4 linked regions of the Saccharomyces cerevisiae S288C genome follow. Changing the gene in region 3 together with the main gene of any one other region gives a genetic interaction. Each region holds a gene or a part of one and is shown on either strand. Other genes may lie near its edges.

Evidence for each region.
Region 1: mutations in JNM1 (region 3) and KIP3 together harm fitness more than expected from each alone (negative genetic interaction), as found in Saccharomyces cerevisiae (6 studies listed by BioGRID, with this or other methods).
Region 2: mutations in JNM1 (region 3) and TUB3 together harm fitness more than expected from each alone (negative genetic interaction), as found in Saccharomyces cerevisiae (5 studies listed by BioGRID, with this or other methods).
Region 4: mutations in JNM1 (region 3) and GIM3 together harm fitness more than expected from each alone (negative genetic interaction), as found in Saccharomyces cerevisiae (7 studies listed by BioGRID, with this or other methods).

The regions. Positions count from the first base shown.
Region 1 is NC_001139.9:83,333-89,562, forward strand, and holds KIP3 (tubulin-dependent ATPase KIP3), read left to right. Parts: upstream 1-1,552; coding exon 1,553-3,970; downstream 3,971-6,230. Other genes in the region: ERMES complex subunit MDM34, read right to left, coding at 1-925; CLG1 (Clg1p), read left to right, coding at 4,649-6,007.
Region 2 is NC_001145.3:21,548-26,639, reverse strand, and holds TUB3 (alpha-tubulin TUB3), read left to right. Parts: upstream 1-2,956; coding exon 2,957-2,981; exon of another isoform or gene 2,982-3,076; intron 3,077-3,279; coding exon 3,280-4,592; downstream 4,593-5,092. Other genes in the region: YML122C (uncharacterized protein), read left to right, coding at 222-602; phosphate transporter PHO84, read left to right, coding at 840-2,603; PGA3 (cytochrome-b5 reductase), read left to right, coding at 4,941-5,092. UniProt on the Saccharomyces cerevisiae protein: Tubulin is the major constituent of microtubules, a cylinder consisting of laterally associated linear protofilaments composed of alpha- and beta-tubulin heterodimers.
Region 3 is NC_001145.3:855,452-858,688, reverse strand, and holds JNM1 (Jnm1p), read right to left. Parts: upstream 1,724-3,237; coding exon 602-1,723; downstream 1-601. Other genes in the region: GSR1 (Gsr1p), read left to right, coding at 1-392; glutamyl-tRNA(Gln) amidotransferase subunit HER2, read left to right, coding at 1,896-3,237. UniProt on the Saccharomyces cerevisiae protein: Component of the dynactin complex which assists cytoplasmic dynein by increasing its processivity and by regulation of its cargo binding.
Region 4 is NC_001146.8:345,169-352,369, reverse strand, and holds GIM3 (tubulin-binding prefolding complex subunit GIM3), read left to right. Parts: upstream 1-6,311; coding exon 6,312-6,701; downstream 6,702-7,201. Other genes in the region: YNL146W (uncharacterized protein), read right to left, coding at 353-655; YNL146C-A (uncharacterized protein), read left to right, coding at 790-984; Sm-like protein LSM7, read right to left, coding at 987-1,316, 1,413-1,430; ALF1 (Alf1p), read left to right, coding at 1,699-2,463; PGA2 (Pga2p), read left to right, coding at 2,614-3,003; RPC31 (DNA-directed RNA polymerase III subunit C31), read left to right, coding at 3,849-4,604; INN1 (Inn1p), read right to left, coding at 4,828-6,057; serine/threonine protein kinase YCK2, read left to right, coding at 7,094-7,201. UniProt on the Saccharomyces cerevisiae protein: Binds specifically to cytosolic chaperonin (c-CPN) and transfers target proteins to it. Binds to nascent polypeptide chain and promotes folding in an environment in which there are many competing pathways for nonnative proteins.

The sequences.
Region 1 (6,230 bases), on a different chromosome or scaffold from region 3:
AACAGTAGAATGGCTTTACCAATTGTTTTGATGATACGGTTGATGACTTTGGTTGTGGAAATGATTGCGAAGAGTAGTAATTGTTTAAAGAGGGCATCCTTGATATAAATCTGTACAAGTTTTGTCTTTCCAAGCAACCAGGTATAGCGGAAAGAGAATTCATCACAGTGGAATGTAGTGACAGTGTTGACCTCGACGACACAATGCTTGAAAGACGTAGCATGTTTATTGGAGAAAGCTCTTGAAAATCTGATCCGTCCAAGATTACATTCCTAGACATTGTAGTTTGTTGATGATGATGCTCTCTTTTACCAGGGATGGTACTGGTGCTCTCGCCGCGATTGGTGAACCAGTTCTGTGACGTGTTGAAGATCAAAGAAGGAAGAACATCCTTGAACACTACATGCATGGACTCTTTTAGCCTTCTCTCAATGGTGCTTTGGAGAATTTTTACAGAACAATCAAACTTAAAATCCAAATCAACGTCATTAAAGGATATCCCAATTCCAGGGTTCTTTACAAAAATATTCGTGATGGCTTCTAGCTCGATGGAACTGAACGTCATAGTTATAGGAATTGTGAACGATCCATTATTGATGAGCTGGGGCATGGTAAAGCTGGGTGTATCCTGTTCGTTAATCAATAAAAGATTCGACTCTATGACTGTCTGTATCCGCAACATAGCATCCTTACATGAAATCTTGCAAATCCCCTTGGCCAGAGACTTGGGCTGCGTGATAATGTCTAGGTCCAGAATTTCTAGCTGTGGTATTGTAGGAAAATCCACCTTCTGTACCTTAATTCCGCTTTTCAAGATATCTAATTTCTTTTTAGACGGTGAGTTCAAAGCCGTAGATAACTTTTCCCGTATTCGTTCATTGAAAGAGTTATCACCAAACACAGCTTCGTTGAATCTAAATGACATGACGATGCTGAAGTTTCTTGCAGTTGTGTTTTTTTTGTTATAATTGTTACTGTTTCTATGTTTTACGAATCTTCCATGACTCTTCTAATTGGTCTCTTTTTACTACAAGGCTTCATGGCCCTTTTTCAAACCTAATTTATAAGTTCTTTGCCCTATGCTTAAAACAGTTTAGCCCTATTTAATATAGTACAAAAAAGGAAAAACCTAATTGAAAAAAGCTATTCACCCTAGGTCATTACTACTTTTTCCCTTAGCTAGCCGTGTTTTTAGTTTTTGTTTTGTTTATTTTACCTGTATTATGCCTTGTTTGATGACTTTAGTATGGGTTTGGTTTGTCTTATCCTTGGATACAAAAGGACCAGATACATTCACGTCTGGTCGGTAGAACATCGGTATCCAGTATAGTGTTCAGCTGTTCCTATAGAGACAAAATTTATAATCTGCGTGTAACAAATATCTGCAGGTTAAAAAAGTCCAGATCAGTGTTTCGAAGCTGTTGATTTTTCTTTTTTTTTTTTTATATTAAAATTTTCATATTCCCTGATTGCATCGTTTATCTGATTATCATTTCATTGCATTCTTTAACTACTTGAGTTTTCTTTCCAGCTGTATACTATTGACACTAACATGAACGTGCCTGAAACAAGACAATCCTCCATAGTCGTAGCTATAAGAGTAAGGCCCTTTACGTCAATGGAAAAAACAAGATTGGTCAATGAAGCTAGTGGTGCAGAAGCTAACTTTCCCGGTTTGGGGGATTCGTCGTTAATATTACCCATGAGTAATAACTCCGACTCCGATATAGACATAGACGCTGAAGAAGGTTCTACGCGGAGCAAAAGAAATAGCTTGCTGAGGAGAAAAGTAATTAGACCGGAGGGTATACGTAAAATTGTGGATTGTGTGGATGATAGAATGCTCATATTCGACCCAGCTGATAGAAACCCATTGAACAAAGTGAGTGATCAGGTCCTGAACTCGATGCGTGCAAGGGCCACTAAGGCCACTGCGTCCTCTATCAATAACAGCAATGCTACGAACAAATTTTCTTCGCAACGTCGAAGGCACGGTGGCGAAATCAAGTTTGTATTTGATAAATTGTTTGATGAAACCTCTTCCCAAGCCCGTGTATACAAAGAGACCACCAGCCCGCTCCTAGATTCTGTTTTAGATGGATTCAACAGTACCGTATTTGCTTACGGTGCTACTGGTTGTGGCAAGACATATACTGTGAGTGGCACACCTTCACAGCCGGGGATCATATTTCTAGCCATGGAGGAACTATTCAATAAAATTACAGACCTGAAGGACGAAAAAGACTTCGAGATTTCACTGTCTTACTTGGAAATATACAATGAAAGAATCAGAGACCTTTTGAAACCAGAGACACCATCTAAAAGATTGGTCATTAGAGAAGATACGCAGAACCACATCAAAGTGGCGAATTTGTCGTATCACCACCCAAATACGGTAGAAGATGTGATGGACTTAGTTGTCCAGGGAAACATAAACAGGACTACGTCACCGACGGAAGCAAACGAAGTATCTTCACGATCTCATGCAGTGCTGCAAATACACATCATGCAGACAAATAAGCTTGTAGACTTGACCTCGCAACATACATTTGCTACACTTTCAATAATCGATCTAGCTGGGAGCGAAAGAGCCGCCGCAACAAGAAACCGTGGTATAAGATTACACGAAGGTGCGAATATAAATAGATCCCTACTAGCACTGGGCAATTGCATTAACGCGTTGTGCTTGAATGATGGCAGCAGAAGCTGTCATATTCCATACAGGGATTCCAAGTTAACTAGGCTGTTGAAATTTTCACTGGGTGGCAATTGCAAAACAGTCATGATTGTTTGCATATCGCCCAGCAGTTCACATTATGATGAGACATTGAATACTTTGAAATATGCAAATCGTGCTAAAGAAATAAAGACCAAAATAATCAGAAATCAGCAGTCTTTGAGTAGACACGTTGGATCTTATTTGAAAATGATTACGGAACAAAAGCGACAAATCGAAGAGTTACGCGAACGTGAAGAGAAGATGATTTCTTTGAAGCTAACGAAATACAAACTAAACAAAGAAAAGATCCAGTTAGCCATTAACGAGTGCGTCAATCGTGTTCAGCAAACGTATGCAGGAGTGGAAACGTATCAAGTAGCCAAGACCTTGAAATCATTAATACTTTGTAAAAGGCGGTTTTTGCAAATGGTCAAGCTAGAAGTGGATAATTTGATACTATTATTTGAACGGGAGGAAAGTACAGCCGCCGAGATGCAGCCGGTGATTAGTAATTGCCGAATGATCAGTGGTCAGCTTTATAACAAAATACACGAGTTAGAAATGAAATTTGATGAAACCGACACTCTGAGTTCCGTCATTCATCAGGTACATTCCATTGACTTGAACAAGTTAAGAGAGATGGAGGACTGGGATGAAACTTACGACCTGGTGTACTTGGAGTCGTGTTTAAATCAAATATCAGAATTACAAAGAAACGAAATCTTGGTTAATTCCTCCATAATGACAGAAAAATTAATGTCAGATCCGGGTTTGAACTCCCGATTTAAATTTCTATCAAAGTGGCTGATGAATAGGACACCTAACATTGAATCCATAATTCAAGACCTGGTTCATATCGACGAGGAGTTTGAATCTTTTGCCAGAACTTTTATCGCCAATCCCGATAGCAATTTTACAAACACAAATATAAATATAATAAACACGACGGCAGCTGACTTGGCTGTTCCCGCTGAGACCCTACAACGGCAAAATTTTTCCCAAAAAAAAGTAAAGTGGACGAGTCCCGACCTTAGTCCCAGCCCTATGATTGAACCACAACCGGAGCTAGAACCAGAACTACACCAAGATCAAGACGCCATTGCAAGTGAAGTGGACGTAAGTATGCAAGATACCACATTCAATGAGCAGGGGCCCTCGACCCCCTCCGCTCCGACTACAGCGGTTCCAAGAAGGAAGATGCGCTCCTCCCTTCTTACTCATCAAAGTCTACTGGCCACTGCCAGGAAATAACATACATATCCTACGTAAACTATCGAATATAACTTCTTTCCGCCAGCATTAAACGCATTTATGTTGATTAATTCCGGGTTACGGGAAAAATTTTTCTTTAATTTCTTTTTTTTGAATTTATTTGGCACGAGAAAAGGTTCAAAGTGAATAATTGCTTTTAGTCATTAGACACATTACCTACTTTCTAAGAGATTCTAAAAGAAACTAAGCACCACAAATCATTGATCTTTTAAGAAAAACGCACAAGGATCATATACTAGATTCTCGTTCTCGTTTTTTCTTCCTTTTTTTTTTCTCTAAAGCCTTTTACTGGGTTAATTTCCTTTATTGACCCAAATTAAAAGAAAACGTTTCTCAGGAGACTCTTTTAAGCAAAATTTAGCAAATTTGTGTTTGCTGTTGTTTTTACAGAGACTGCATTACTTGAAGGTTTGCCTTTAAGTCTTCGAGTCGTTTTTTTTTATTAACTTTAATCCTTTTTCTGTGTGTTTGTGTATATTCAGTGGGGTTATTTTACAGTATTCGAAGAGACTTCGTTTCACACATTTAAACCAGCTTTATTAGCGTTTAGCTTATACACTACAAGGAATTTTTTTTTTCTTTAACATTATTAAGACAGTTATTGAGTTAATTCGTCTTCAGCCCCCCTCCCCCCAACAAACCCCCCTTCATATAGAAATGGCTAATACTTTCAAGTATTATCCTGAAACGATGGGTAATTCTAGTGGTTATCCAATTAGTTTGCCTTTTCCGAAAGGTTCGGCTACTTCTGCTGTTAATGTTGCTAGGCAACTGCCTAAATATTTAGGTCATGTTCCCTCGCAATCAGTTCATACTCAGTTGCCATCCATGGCTTCTTTAGGTTACTTCAATCAGCCAAGTTCTACTTACTATGCTCCTCCTGCACCACTTCAACAGCACCAGCAACCACCTATCCTTCCCCCTCCGGGCCTAATGTACACTAGTAACAATAACAGCAACGTTATTCCTCCTCCTGTTCAAATGATTCGGGATGGACAACAACAACCACAACAATCTAACCAAGTAAATGGGGGCGTCAGTGAGAACTTGGACTACGATATTTCTATAATGTCAAAATTTATCATGGAAAATGCCTTTGTTGCCTTCAACGCGAACTATAGTACTGATGACCAGACCACTGATCTTTTTTTCAAGGGCATATCTTCTGTGTTGAATGCCACGAGATTGCCTTCAGCTACTATTTTTTTGGCTATAGATTATCTTTTCAAGTATATCAATAAATTATCTAATGGGATACATTCAATTGGTGGCAATTCGATCAATATCATTTATCAAAATACTATGATTGCGTTCATATTAGCAAACAAGTTCAACGATGACAAAACTTTCACCAATAACTCATGGTCACAGGCAACAGGAATACTGATAAATGTTATCAATGATTTCGAGAGACAATGGTTGAGAATATTTAACTGGGAATTGTATGATAGTGCTTTTCTTTATTTTGAGTTCGTCAAGAATTTTGAGATTTTCAAGCAAAATCAACTCAAACCTGCTGTAGCGGTTCCTACGTTATTATCTCCAATTGTCAACGTTGGTGATACGAGAAACGTAAATTTCAACTTGAAGCCTACTTCCACAAACAACCTATTATCTCCAGTTTCCAATTATGAAACCCCCATGCTGATGCCGCATAACATGTTTTCATCACCATCTTATCAGAGTAACTCAAGGTCTGAATTTTCTAGTATGAATGGTTATTATAACTATTACAACTATAATCAGCCAAGATTGAATTACTATCAACAATTCCCCAATATATATTCTTCACCAATTTCGGAAACTCAGTTTGATTACGACTTCTACAATTTCAGTAGTCAACAACAACAGCAACAACAAAAACAACACTCACTTTTACCTGCCGCTCCACAATTACCTCCCCCTCACGTCCATAATCAGTCTTACGGTCATCATCTTGGCTGGAAGTCAATGGATGACACAATAAATCATTCAAGATTTGAGCGAAACTACTTTCCGTATTCGGCAGTGTATTAGTGAAAACTTTTTTTTCCTTATTTTTTCTTTGATCCCATCGAATTACTTTCTCTTTTGCCCAGGATCATCTTTCTAATCTATCATTTTATTATTTTCTCTCATGAGAAAACAGAATTTCGAAACAGATATAATAAAAAAATTGAAAAATTTGAAAAAAAAAAATCTAGAAACATATTTTCCTAAAATGAAAATCGGAAGCTAACAAAATTTTTGAAAAACGAAA
Region 2 (5,092 bases), 830 kb from region 3:
TCGGTATACTCTGCCTAATAAACCTTAATTTTCTTACAAAAAAAAAAAGATTCAATAAAAAAAGAAATGAGATCAAAAAAAAAAAAAATTAAAAAAAAAAAGAAACTAATTTATCAGCCGCTCGTTTATCAACCGTTATTACCAAATTATGAATAAAAAAACCATATTATTATGAAAAGACACAACCGGAAGGGGAGATCACAGACCTTGACCAAGAAAACATGCCAAGAAATGACAGCAATCAGTATTACGCACGTTGGTGCTGTTATAGGCGCCCTATACGTGCAGCATTTGCTCGTAAGGGCCCTTTCAACTCATCTAGCGGCTATGAAGAAAATGTTGCCCGGCTGAAAAACACCCGTTCCTCTCACTGCCGCACCGCCCGATGCCAATTTAATAGTTCCACGTGGACGTGTTATTTCCAGCACGTGGGGCGGAAATTAGCGACGGCAATTGATTATGGTTCGCCGCAGTCCATCGAAATCAGTGAGATCGGTGCAGTTATGCACCAAATGTCGTGTGAAAGGCTTTCCTTATCCCTCTTCTCCCGTTTTGCCTGCTTATTAGCTAGATTAAAAACGTGCGTATTACTCATTAATTAACCGACCTCATCTATGAGCTAATTATTATTCCTTTTTGGCAGCATGATGCAACCACATTGCACACCGGTAATGCCAACTTAGATCCACTTACTATTGTGGCTCGTATACGTATATATATAAGCTCATCCTCATCTCTTGTATAAAGTAAAGTTCTAAGTTCACTTCTAAATTTTATCTTTCCTCATCTCGTAGATCACCAGGGCACACAACAAACAAAACTCCACGAATACAATCCAAATGAGTTCCGTCAATAAAGATACTATTCATGTTGCTGAAAGAAGTCTTCATAAAGAACACCTTACCGAAGGTGGTAACATGGCCTTCCACAACCATTTGAATGATTTTGCTCATATTGAAGATCCTCTGGAAAGAAGAAGATTGGCTTTGGAGTCCATCGATGACGAAGGTTTCGGTTGGCAACAAGTTAAGACCATCTCCATTGCTGGTGTTGGTTTCTTGACAGATTCTTATGATATTTTTGCCATTAATTTGGGTATCACTATGATGTCCTACGTTTACTGGCACGGTAGTATGCCAGGTCCAAGTCAAACCTTGTTGAAGGTTTCCACTTCTGTTGGTACTGTTATTGGTCAATTTGGTTTTGGTACTTTAGCTGATATTGTTGGTCGTAAGAGAATTTATGGTATGGAACTTATTATCATGATTGTCTGTACCATTCTGCAAACCACTGTTGCTCATTCTCCTGCTATTAACTTCGTTGCTGTTTTAACATTCTACCGTATTGTCATGGGTATTGGTATCGGTGGTGACTACCCACTATCTTCTATTATTACTTCTGAATTTGCCACTACCAAATGGAGAGGTGCCATCATGGGTGCTGTCTTTGCTAACCAAGCTTGGGGTCAAATCTCCGGTGGTATCATCGCTCTTATCTTGGTTGCTGCTTACAAGGGCGAACTAGAATACGCAAACTCTGGTGCTGAATGTGATGCTAGATGTCAAAAGGCTTGTGACCAAATGTGGAGAATCCTTATTGGGTTGGGTACCGTTCTAGGGTTGGCATGTTTGTATTTCAGATTAACTATTCCAGAATCTCCTAGATATCAATTGGATGTTAACGCTAAGTTGGAACTTGCTGCTGCCGCACAAGAACAAGATGGCGAAAAGAAAATTCACGACACCAGTGATGAAGACATGGCAATTAACGGTTTGGAAAGAGCTTCTACTGCCGTCGAATCTCTTGACAATCATCCTCCAAAGGCTTCGTTCAAAGATTTCTGCAGACATTTTGGTCAATGGAAGTACGGTAAGATTTTGCTAGGTACTGCTGGTTCATGGTTTACCTTAGATGTTGCTTTCTACGGGTTGAGTTTAAACAGTGCTGTTATTCTGCAAACCATCGGTTATGCCGGTTCCAAAAACGTTTACAAGAAACTGTATGATACTGCTGTCGGTAATCTGATTTTGATTTGTGCTGGTTCATTACCTGGTTACTGGGTATCCGTCTTCACTGTCGATATAATCGGTAGAAAACCAATTCAATTAGCCGGTTTCATCATCTTGACCGCTTTGTTCTGTGTCATCGGTTTCGCATACCATAAACTTGGTGACCATGGTCTGTTGGCTCTTTACGTCATTTGTCAATTCTTCCAAAACTTCGGTCCAAACACAACCACCTTTATTGTTCCTGGTGAGTGTTTCCCAACTCGTTACAGATCTACTGCTCATGGTATTTCTGCTGCATCTGGTAAGGTCGGTGCCATTATTGCACAAACCGCTTTGGGTACTCTAATCGACCATAACTGTGCTAGAGACGGTAAGCCAACCAACTGTTGGTTACCTCACGTCATGGAAATTTTCGCCTTATTCATGTTGTTGGGTATCTTCACAACCTTGTTGATCCCAGAAACTAAGAGAAAGACTCTAGAAGAAATTAACGAGCTATACCACGATGAAATCGATCCTGCTACGCTAAACTTCAGAAACAAGAATAATGACATTGAATCTTCCAGCCCATCTCAACTTCAACATGAAGCATAAAAGCCTCAAAGATGCACTAAAACTTGTAAACTAGAACAAATAATACAAAAACATTTTTATAAACTTATTATCAAACCCCTTACATAATCTATAAATACTGTCAGGTTACATATTTATTCGATAATTTCTTTTAATTTCATTATTTCCTCACATCTCTCTGCCATCCTGTTGGCTGGTGCCAGAGCAGAGCATATCGTCCTTTCTTTTTTAGTTCCAGACGTTACCCGACATATCATTTCTCGAGCCTCTGGAAACCACGAAACGTTTTACAAATTGCACATCTAAAAGAAATATAAACACAGATCAGGTATCTCATAAAGTACATTAATCGACTAAGCAAGCGACTTGAGACAATGAGAGAGGTCATTAGTATTAATGGTATGTATGCGTTCCTTTTTTTGTTCAATATTCGCAACCAATGGCACCTGTGGGACAGGGAAAGAAGTTTGATCTGATCTGGTTTGATTCATTCCCAATTGGTCACCATCTGGTTGATTTACGGCAAATAATTTGACTTGTACCAGCACAGTTTACTAACAGTTTCTTTTTCTCCATTTTTTCTGGGCATACTCGGACGAAAAAGCTCATAATTGACCTCATTACATGGGGAGTGATTTTTGTGTCTTCTTCTTCGGAGGATTGCTGGAACTTTTGTTATTTTTCTTTTTTACAACAGTTGGTCAAGCAGGTTGTCAAATAGGTAATGCATGCTGGGAATTGTACTCCCTAGAGCATGGCATCAAGGAAGACGGCCATTTGGAGGATGGCTTGTCAAAACCTAAGGGAGGTGAAGAAGGATTTTCTACATTCTTCCATGAAACGGGGTACGGAAAATTCGTCCCAAGAGCAATCTACGTGGATTTAGAGCCCAATGTTATCGATGAAGTACGTACAGGACGTTTCAAGGAGCTTTTCCATCCAGAACAATTGATTAACGGTAAGGAAGATGCCGCCAATAACTACGCAAGAGGCCATTATACAGTGGGTAGAGAAATAGTGGATGAAGTTGAAGAAAGAATTAGAAAGATGGCCGACCAATGTGACGGTTTACAAGGGTTCTTGTTCACCCACTCCCTCGGTGGTGGAACTGGTTCCGGTTTAGGTTCCCTGTTATTAGAAAACTTATCGTATGAATACGGGAAGAAATCCAAATTGGAATTCGCCGTTTATCCTGCGCCTCAATTGTCTACTTCCGTCGTGGAACCTTACAACACGGTTTTAACCACGCATACCACCCTGGAACACGCAGACTGTACGTTTATGGTCGATAACGAAGCCATTTACGATATATGCAAGAGGAACTTGGGAATTTCTAGACCAAGCTTCAGCAACTTGAACGGGTTGATTGCCCAAGTGATATCATCTGTTACAGCCTCTTTGAGGTTCGATGGTTCATTAAACGTGGATTTGAACGAATTTCAGACCAACTTGGTACCATATCCAAGAATTCATTTCCCTTTGGTTTCCTACGCACCCATCTTGTCCAAGAAGAGGGCCACCCATGAATCCAACTCCGTGTCAGAAATCACAAACGCTTGTTTCGAACCGGGCAATCAAATGGTTAAGTGTGACCCAACAAAGGGGAAGTACATGGCTAACTGTTTGTTATACAGAGGTGACGTGGTGACCAGAGATGTCCAAAGAGCCGTCGAACAGGTGAAGAATAAAAAAACAGTACAAATGGTGGATTGGTGTCCAACAGGATTTAAGATTGGTATTTGTTATGAGCCACCAAGTGTGATACCAAGTTCCGAATTAGCCAATGTGGATAGAGCTGTCTGCATGCTATCCAACACCACTGCCATCGCGGACGCTTGGAAGAGAATCGATCAGAAATTCGACCTGATGTATGCCAAACGTGCTTTCGTCCATTGGTATGTCGGTGAAGGTATGGAAGAAGGTGAGTTCACCGAAGCTAGAGAAGATTTAGCTGCCTTAGAAAGAGATTATATTGAAGTGGGTGCCGATTCTTACGCTGAGGAGTTCTAAGAAAGTGGCTCTGATCCCGATACCCACTTATAGATTTATATTTACTTAATGTCCATATGTATATACATATATATATATATATATATATACGCTTATATATATATATGCATATTCTATCCAAATAAAGATACCTCTAATTATCGAATTATTTTTCACTTACCTTTAGGTGTACAGTTAGAACAATAGCTTATTAAATTTATTTTTTTCCCTATGTTCCGCGGAATATTGAAAAATTTGAAAATATTCTAAGACAAAAATACCCATAAAAAACAAAGAGTTTTGAGCTCATCTCGTTGCCACCCAAACTTATCACAAAAAAGGAAGCACTCCAAGAACCGCGTGAAGAAAATGTCAAAAGAAGACATAGAAGGAACTAACATTCTAGACGAACCTGTCCACGGGATCTATATTCCTGCCGCGCTATTCGTTGTTGGTGTTGCAATCACCACGTATATGTCTGGTGAATTGAAAATCCTGTGGAGTTTACCCATTCTCTTCAT
Region 3 (3,237 bases):
ACAGACAATCTTATTTTTCCAACGAAGAAGGTCATGTTCTGTGTGATGTTTTCGGTCAACCCATCACACAGGCAGATATATCGAATCCAACTAGGGCAAGAGACGAAAGACCTTTGGACACTATAAGAAGTTTCGAGTATGCTGTCTCCGGAGACCCGGTCTGGGCCCAACAGTTGGAGACTCCAACTTACGGGTTCCGCGTAAGACCTGATTTCCCTGTGTTTGGTGCTGCTGTGACTTACGATGCGAACGGTATGCCACAGCAAGTGGGTGGTGCTTCCAGTCAAATGTATGGTGAACAAGCAGTGTATCAGCCACAACAACACGTACAGACTGAGGAAAAGCAAAAGAAGAAGAAGAAGGGATTGTTTGGTAGAATGAAGAAGAAATAAGCGCTTGATACCCTTTAGAGACTTTATTTTTTTCTTTTTTATGATAATTTCTGTTTTCCGCTCTTATTTTGGATATTTCATATTTCATATTGTTATTATTACTATTATTATATATACATACACACACATATTTTCAATTTTTTTGTCATATGGAGACGAAAAAATGAAGAATGAAATTAAATTGGTTTATAAAATTATTTCTCCGCCTTTTATTTGCTATTTCTCTGTAGAGCTTCGTCTTCGAGGGTATCAATTTTACGCCTGATCTGCTCCATATTTTCGCGAATTTTAACCTCTTGTTCATCGAATTTTTTATCCAGCTCATTTAAAGCCTTTAGCCAAACTTTTCCTTGTTCTTGGATGCTGGTTATTTGTGAATCCAGCCCTTTCGTGGTTTCGTACACCTCGATCACCCTGTTGTTCATTTTATTGAGACTTTTCATCCTCTCCGCCAACAGTGGTAGTGAATCTTGATATTGCTTGAACATGGAATACATACTATTTATCTCCTTTACTTTGTTTTCGGGCATAACAAGCTTGCTCACGGTGTCATCTTTCAACCTCAAGTCCTGTTGTATTTTCTTGCCTAACAATGAGTTTTCAAATTCCTCGTTCAGTTCTACGAGTCTATCCCGGAACTTTTGCAGCTTTCCTTCCGCCTTATCATCGCCTTGTAAAAGTTGAATACTTCTATATAGTTCATTGACTTTACTATGAACCGATTTCCTATCTTCTTCTGCCTCCAAAGCTTCTGGTATGCCAACAAAACGTTCCATTAGGGATATTTTCTGATCTAACTTTTGCAATCTTTTGATATTACTCGTATCAAGAATTATGTTTGGCAATATGACGGTATCTTGGCCTTCATATGTTTCGAGAAGCTTCTTCCTCAAATTTGTCAATCTACTAGATGATTCCGTCGCCAATTTTGATTGAATTTCGCACAATTCCTTGATTTCAGTTTGCATTTCAGATGTTAAATTTTCTATTTTCAACTCCTCCAATTCTTCTCTTATTCTTTCTAATTTCTGTTGCCGACTTTCATCTTCTTCATCGTTACTCAACTTTCTCGCATCTGCACAGTCTGATTGGTTTTGTCTATGTATCTTGAAAAGCAACTGATCTCGAATAGCCCTTCTCAAACTCTCAACATCTCTCCCTGGTTCAACGATGAGCCCATCTTTTCTTGAAGATGCTTCTTCCTGCTCTTCTTGTTGTCCATCTTCCTTCACTTCATTTTCAAAAATTTCTTGAGATTCCTCATTGTCAATGCCAATCAAGCTATCATAATCCACATTGATGGCAGGATCACTTAAATCTATGACGTTCATCAACCAGTAGATTTCTTTATCTTTCTTAGCCTCATGACTTATCTGCTCTTCTTTTTTTTTTTGAAATGCATTGGCTCCCAAAAAAGTAATAGTACATCTATACTTGTAAACACTATTATTTGTGCTGGAAAGATGGCCCCTCAATTGGAGTCCTAACTTTGATTATACAAAAATGCCACTGAAACGCTCCTTAAAAGAATCAATCGAAAGATTATCTAGTTTTCAATCAAAATATAATATTTTCACTAGTATCAATCCATCTCCTTATTCAATCACAAATAAAAAAGGTACAAAAGAAACATTGACAGGTTGCGTTGCCAGTATCAAGGATAATATAGTTACAAAAGATTTTCCAACCACATGTGCCTCACATATACTTGAGAATTTCAAGTCTCCCTTCGATGCAACAGTAGTGAAACTATTAAAACAGGCAGGAGTGCATATCTTAGGCAAGACAAATTTAGATGAATTTGGAATGGGTTCTGGGGGAGTACATTCAATAAGAGGGCCCGTAATTAACCCTTTATATCCTCATGAGGACAAGAAGATCATGGGAGGTTCATCGTCTGGAGCCGCTGCAAGCGTTGCTTGCGATCTAGTCGATTTTGCCTTGGGAACAGATACTGGTGGCTCCGTTAGGCTCCCCGCATGCTATGGATCTGTTTTAGGATTCAAGCCGTCCTATGGACGGTTGTCAAGATTTGGCGTAATAGCGTATTCTCAATCTTTAGACACTGTTGGCATACTTAGCAAAAAGATAAACGTCTTGCGAAAAGTATTTCATACGCTCGATAAATATGACATGAAAGATCCCACTTCCTTAAGTGTGGAATTGCGTGAATTGATAGAAGGGAATAAAAAGGTTAGGAGACCTTTAAAGGTAGGAATTGTAAAGGAATTTAGCCATGAAAGTATGCCCATTGGGTTCCACAGATTATATTTATCCTTACTAGAAAAGCTGATAAATTTAGGGCTTGAAATATACCCTGTATCCATTCCATCTGTAAAAAACTGTTTACCGATTTATTATACGCTATCACCCGCTGAAGCGGCTTCCAATTTATCAAGGTATGATGGTATCAGATATGGATACAGAGATTCAGAACTCGATATAAAAGACGGTATTTTATTCGCACCTACTAGGTCCAAATTCGGAACAGAAGTTAAGAATAGAATCATTCTAGGTAATTATAATCTTTGTTCAGATGCATTTAAGAACAATTTTATTAAGGCAGAAAAGCTACGAGTTAATTTGATCGATGAATTTGACGGGATCTTCAGATTTCCAAATGTTTTAACTAATTCTAAGGGAAATCCAGACGGCCTAGATCTACTGATAGTTCCCACATCGTCCAAGCTTCCTGGATCCATAAGGGACTTCGAAGAAGAGGAAGCCAAATCTCCGGCTAACTCGTATATAAACGATGTCTTTACTGTCCCAATGTCATTGGCTGGACTACCAAGTTTATCAATGCCTTTAAAAGAGAAGACCCCGATTGGCTTACAGGTAGTAG
Region 4 (7,201 bases), on a different chromosome or scaffold from region 3:
GTCTCTAGTGATGTCAATGAACGGATGAACGACAGAAGAAGTGGATGGAAATAAAATGGTTATTTATCAGATATTTATATACAAAATTACGTGGTAATGCAACAGCTTTTTCCTCTCGCTTTGTTCTTTTTCCTCTGACATGCATGTTTCATTTTCGTTCCTTATGGCATCCATGTCATGTAAATTTCCCGAATAGGTAAATACATGCTTTTTTAACTTAAAAAATTATGGGCGTCCTATGCATGCACTTAACGGAAAAGGAAACTATCAATTAATTATGTAGTAGATGGTGTACCTATTATTGCATTAGTATTTGTTTCAAATGAAAACATGCTGCTTTAACTTTTCTAATTTATACCATAAACGGTATAGTAATGATGAAACTGAAAAATAAAAAAATAAACAGTCTGGTCTTATCGACCATGTTAACATCATCAAAATCCACCAAGTTTTCCGAGAAAATAGATGAGGGCCTGTTATTATTACTAACTGAGTTTGAATTCTTTTTGTAAAATCGTGGCAGTAGTTCTTGAAATGTCATTTTGAAGGACACTGAGTTTCGAAATATCAACATTATGAGTATGAATAAAAGTGTAAGGATAATGATCCTTTTGAGTTCCATGTGATGAGAAGTGGTATGCTTAGTATTGCTCATACTGGACAAATACGAAAGGAATCAGTAAATAATTAAGATTGTAGAGGGAGGGGTGTATGTGTATGCGGATACTTTTTTGATTTGGCAGAAGGAAAATTGGTATTGGCAGCTGTACAGTGACTCCCCTTATACAAATGATCTCAGTTTGTTTCGTTTTTCCTCATTCTCTGGCTTTAGACTTCAAATCGCGGTGTAAAAAAAATAGGACAAAACTATGTAGCGCATACTATGTCAGTCAGGTATTGAGAATATGTAAAGAAATGCCATACCGTGATTTGATTTTGTTTTCAACTGTAAGGAAGGGAGTTTATATGAGATTATATTATTAAACCTATTTTTGCATATATAGTACATCAGAACCTTCGGCGGAACTTAAAGAGACCAAAATAGTACCTCTTATGACGGTCAAACCTAGCTTTCTTGCGTTTTTAGAAATCAGTTCAGTGTTGTTTTCATCATCAGGATTAGACATATATTCTACTGTATCATCAAGTACCAAGTTCATCAGTTGATCATAGCCTTTTAGGACACCTATAACTAATTTACCACCCATTAATTTGACGCGAATTTTAGAATCTTTATACTTCGCTAAATCCAGAATAGCTTCTCTTTTAGGGCCTTCGAATTTTTTCCTTTGCTGTTGTGGTTTGTTCTCTGATTTCTTAGTTCAAAAAGGAAACATAGTTATTATAATGTTAGTATAAATAAGTCAAAAGGAAGGTTATTGCCACGGAAGAAAATAAGAAGTGAAACATACGGAGTGTTGCTGATGCATGTTTTTTTGGTTAATGTTCTGTGTAGTAAACAAAGTGCTGCTCTCAAATAACTTTCTTTTTTACTGTAGTAGTATACACGTACATGCGTATTCTTAATTGTCGTTTCCCAGTTGTCTGTTTTCAGCTACAGCTTTTTTCGCCTTTGTTCGAAAGAACAGTACTTTTTTCCGGCTCGCAGGGAAACGGCAGTTGAAGAAGACAAGCGACAAGAACATAGAGCAACGAATTCAAATAAAGAGATAGAAAAAAAAATTACATGGCAAAACTATGGTTAGAGTTGTCATAGAGAGTGAATTGGTCCGTACAGAAAAGGAATTACCAAATTCGCTTAAATTAAGGCAGTTCAAGGACCGATTGTACCATGTTACCGGAGTGGAACCAGAGGATATGGAAATAGTTGTGAAAAGACAGTACGACAACAAGGAGATATATAGTACTAAAAAGGGGGGTGCCTATTCAAATGAGGATGAAGATGCCAACTTCCTAAAAGGAGAGGAGGAGCTTATTGTGGTTGTTACAGACTCTAATGCCCAATCAATCTCTAACCAGCTGGCCACGCAAGCGGAAGGAATCCCCTCAATGGAAGTAATTAGCGAGGAGGATTATTTGCGAAGGGATCAATCCGTATTACGATGGAAGATGGCTCACGGCTATGGTAGGTTTAATGCTGCACAGCAGAGCCAGCGCGCTGCGCTGGCAAAGCAGGACGAAGCATATGCCCGAGAGCAATTAACGGCGGCTATCGGCCGCCACTGTCGTGTCACAGTAGACGGGAGCGCTCCACGTGAGGCCATTTTACGGTACGTAGGACCACTACCGTTGGACGTGATGGGCACATGGTGCGGTGTGGAATTCCCGGAAGCCGCAGGCAAAAACGATGGGCGCATAAATGGGGTAACACTGTTTGGGCCTGTGGCGCCGGGTCACGGATCGTTTGTGCGTCCGCGGGCTGTGGAAATTCTATCAAAAGACGAAGAATCCGCCGAGGTGGAAGACGTCCATGATGACGTGGAGAGCGATGATGAAATTTGAATTTGTGCAGAATTAGCGCGGTGGCGGTTTAGTTAGTGATCTCCATCCGATGTCAACATATTATTATTTGTAGTTGTATTTATGTGCACTCGGCGGTTTGTATGAGGAAAAGATGTTATGAAGAGAAAAACTGCCGAGTAATTGAAAGAGATGTCTGAAGTAGCGGAAACATGGGTGGATACCTGGATGGCAAAACTAGTCAACTATGACTACAAGCACTTTATAAGATTGGTGATAATTGTAGGTGGTTATTTACTCTTAAGAAATATCGCATCCAGGGAATTGGCGAAGAAGCAGTTGGCTGCCCAAGTGGAAAAGGACAAACGAGACAAAGAGGAAAAGAGATCAAAAGACCTGATCGACAAGCCAGATGATGCTGCAACAGCAGAAACAACTTCTTTCGGTTGGGGTAAGAAAACTAGAAGAAGAGTTAAAAGACAACAGGAGTTGTTTGAAAACGCTTTGGAAGAGGCTAAGAGAAGAAACCAAGGGTTGGACCCAGATAGTGATGCTGATATTGAGGAACTACTGGAAGAATAGGCTCTCTGTGTATGTATGGGTTCCTCTTTGTCATTGTGACATTGTTTTGTTTTTAGTTTTTCTATAGTTTTCTGATAAAATAGTCTAACCATTACCGATGTTGCTACTTGCATCATTCTCAACGTCTAATCAACTTGCGTTTGCGTCTCAAATTGAGTTTGTAGGTTACGTGTCGCCTTAATAGTCAGCAAATGCCGACGTTTGTGAGACGGATAACGACTGCGATGATTCCCATTCCGCATGAATGATGCAATTCACAATTCAAACACGATATCAAACGACTAAGCCGTGAATTAACGGCTAGAATGCAAAAGAAAATGGGTAAGAATTGATTTATGTAGATACGGCAAGACGATACTTTCCTTAAACAGCCGAGAAACGAAAAGGTTTAAAGAGATGTACTGTGACGTAGAAGAGAAAGGATTACGCAGCAATGGCTTGTCCAAATTTCGTAGTCTAGCCAATTGAAAATATAAATTATTTTCAATACTAATGGGCGGCTTTCGAACAAATGTCACATTGCAGAGGTGATCGTTCAAAGTAATTAGCAGTCATGAACGAGATCTTCTTTTCTCTTATGAAGAAAAAGGCTGATGGTCGACAAGAAAAATCTCAATACAATGGCTACCATTCCACAAAGAAGTGCCTCGCTAGGTGTAACTCAATGAACTGAAATTGCTTTCGTCAGTGGTTTCAACTCTTGTGCGGCCGCATGAAAAATGAAGAGAAATTTGAAAAAATCTCAAAGAAGAAAATAGTTTCCTCATCGCAGCAACCTATAGAAAACAACACGACAGAAAGATATTGTAACTTGATAGTACCGAGCATATATACCCCGAACAAACATGAGTTCTTATAGGGGCGGCAGTAGAGGTGGCGGGAGCAACTATATGAGCAATCTACCCTTCGGATTAGGTTATGGAGATGTAGGCAAAAATCATATTACGGAATTTCCATCCATCCCATTGCCCATCAATGGTCCTATAACAAATAAGGAAAGATCTTTAGCAGTAAAGTACATCAATTTTGGAAAGACTGTTAAAGATGGCCCATTTTATACCGGATCAATGAGCTTGATAATAGATCAACAGGAAAACAGCAAGAGCGGTAAACGCAAACCCAACATAATCCTAGACGAAGACGATACTAATGATGGCATTGAAAGATATTCCGATAAATATTTGAAAAAAAGGAAAATAGGTATTTCTATTGATGATCATCCGTATAATTTGAACCTCTTTCCCAATGAATTGTACAATGTAATGGGGATCAACAAGAAAAAATTATTGGCAATCTCCAAGTTTAATAATGCCGATGATGTTTTTACTGGTACAGGTTTACAAGATGAAAACATCGGACTATCCATGCTGGCAAAGTTAAAGGAGTTGGCAGAAGATGTGGATGATGCGTCGACGGGTGATGGGGCAGCAAAAGGAAGTAAAACAGGCGAAGGAGAAGATGATGATTTGGCGGATGATGATTTCGAAGAAGATGAAGACGAAGAAGATGATGATGATTATAATGCTGAAAAGTATTTCAACAATGGTGACGATGATGATTACGGTGATGAAGAGGATCCAAATGAAGAGGCCGCCTTTTAGTTGAAAATTTATACCGCTTTACCATATTTTTGGATATTCTTCAAAGCAGAATTTGTACAATTAGCATTTTTCTTTATGGTTTAGATCGGCGGTGAGGGCGCAACAGATTTATGTATACATATTGAAATAATAAAATTTAAAAAAGAAAAAATCTTGGTAAACATTAAAAATCTTAATTCTATTTAAATATTAGTATTACAATAACAGCATGTTTCTCTTGTCATTAGCTGAGCCTTGGAGGTGGTCTTTTTCTTGTAGGAGACATCGAATTCTTCCTCGAATTAAAATTGGAATTCGAAGTAGTCGGTAGAGGTGGTAGTTTTGGAGAATTCAGGCCTGATGGATGAGGATGTGAGTTAGGCGAAGAGGAATCTAGGCGTGAGGGTCTATCTCTTCTTACTAACGGCGTATTGCGCGAACTTGAATAATTGGACATATCATCTCTGGTCGGTATAGGAGGTAAGGGCGGTTGGTTATAGTTGTGGGAGACTCTATGGCTGGAAGAATAAAATGCGTCATTTTCGTCGTCATCGTCATCATCTTCGTCGTAAGACAACGAAGTTACACCAATAGCCTTTTGAAGTGCCTCAATATCTACCTTGTTAGATTCATTTTGGCAGTTGTTTGTTGAACTATCAGGATTCTTAAATATATTTATCTTCTCCTTTAATTTCCTTAAATTGGCAAAATGGAATTTTGTATTCGAAGTGTTTGATATAGCAGTATCATTAGTTTCTAATGTAGACGTTGTACCCATGGATGCTGAAAAAGTTGGAGGTAAAATTATTGGGTCATTACTATTTGCCAATACCGCTGTATCTGATTTAGATGACATGGAGAAAACATTGCCATTTCTGTAGGGCTGTCCCTCATCCTTATCCTCGTGACTTGTGCTAACACACTGGGGAGTAATCTGTCTCATCGTAGAACCATGAACATAGTCATACTCTGATTCTGTTGGCAATGGTGGTATCGGCCTCATAGCCATAGATGAATCCAACCTGTCCATTTCTTTGTTAAGATCGTCCCTGTTTAAACGAGGTACTTTGGGAGTGAAAGTCAACTCAATGAATATAGTGCCAGCAAATTCATCCCCACTTCTTTTCAGTTCGTACCAGGTACAATAACCCTCCTTCGGGTCTGCTCTAATAGCATTTAAAAGGTCTATTTCACATCTTCCAATTGGCAGCGGAGATTTTTTCCTTCTATCGCAGTAAACTTCGACGTACATTAAAGGCTTTATCTCTGGAGTAATATCAAATTTTTCTAAATAATGGAAAACAGGGTTTTGACCTGCTCGATGTAGAGTGTTGCTGGCTCTTGTCATATGAGCTATTCGCAACCTAAGCATTACATTTTGCTTGTCCAGTTTATTCAAATTAGGCAAGTCTCTAGCTTTGCTCACATATACGGAGAGGATTCCTTGGTTTCCATTCCATACTTCTTCGGACATTCGACAGTGACTCAACGAGTTAACCCAATTCCAGTTGTGAAACCTAAGGTCTCCGAATTCTCTCGTACTATTAACATACCTTTCTATGTTTTTATCTAAATCATATGAGGAACGCTAGGCCGTCATTCATGATCAGCAGAGGCGGCTTTTCATACAATTTTACAGGAAGCTAAGTACTTAGAGGACTTATGCTCTGTTTGGTCCTGCGGAAACTACCAGAATACACAACGCCAAGAAACTAACAGAGGACCATTATGGAACTGTTACCACAGGGACAAAGGAACAACACTCAGGTAACGTTCGAAGATCAGCAAAAGATCAACGAGTTTTCGAAGTTGATTATGCGTAAGGACGCCATTGCGCAGGAATTGAGTTTACAGAGGGAGGAGAAGGAGTACCTCGATGATGTGTCTCTAGAAATTGAATTGATTGACGAAGATGAGCCCGTGCAATACAAGGTGGGCGACCTCTTTATCTTCATGAAACAGAGCAAAGTTACCGCACAGCTCGAAAAAGACGCAGAACGTCTCGACAACAAAATAGAGACTTTAGAGGACAAGCAAAGAGACATTGATTCCCGTCTTGATGCTCTGAAGGCGATCCTGTATGCTAAATTTGGTGATAATATCAACCTTGAACGTTAGAACACTCATTAAAGTGTGGGCTGTGGGTGTCTCCACAAAATGAGTAATGAAAAATTTTTAATTTTTTCAGGAGGGAAATTAAAGAAAAGTAAAGAACATGATAATAAAAAGCAAGTTTAAGTTATTGTGTATGAGATAGAGTTTTTTTTGTATACCTTTGTAATCCGCATATATTCCTAAGTACCTTTTTTTTCAGACAGAAAAAAAGAGTTTCTTTACGGAAATTACTTCTTTCGTTTGATATTGTTTTTCTCTTTCGAGATTTAAGAACGTGGTTGTGTTTCGTGTTTCTGTGCAGATCATATTAGAAAGTTTTTTTCTCCATTTTGATAGACAAAACTTGTTGTTTCTACTGAACACAGCATATAAGCCAAGAAAATAGTTTTCCAAAAATGTCTCAAGTGCAAAGTCCTTTGACAGCAACGAACTCTGGTTTAGCTGTCAATAATAACACAATGAACTCACAAATGCCTAACCGTAGCAATGTTAGATTGGTCAAT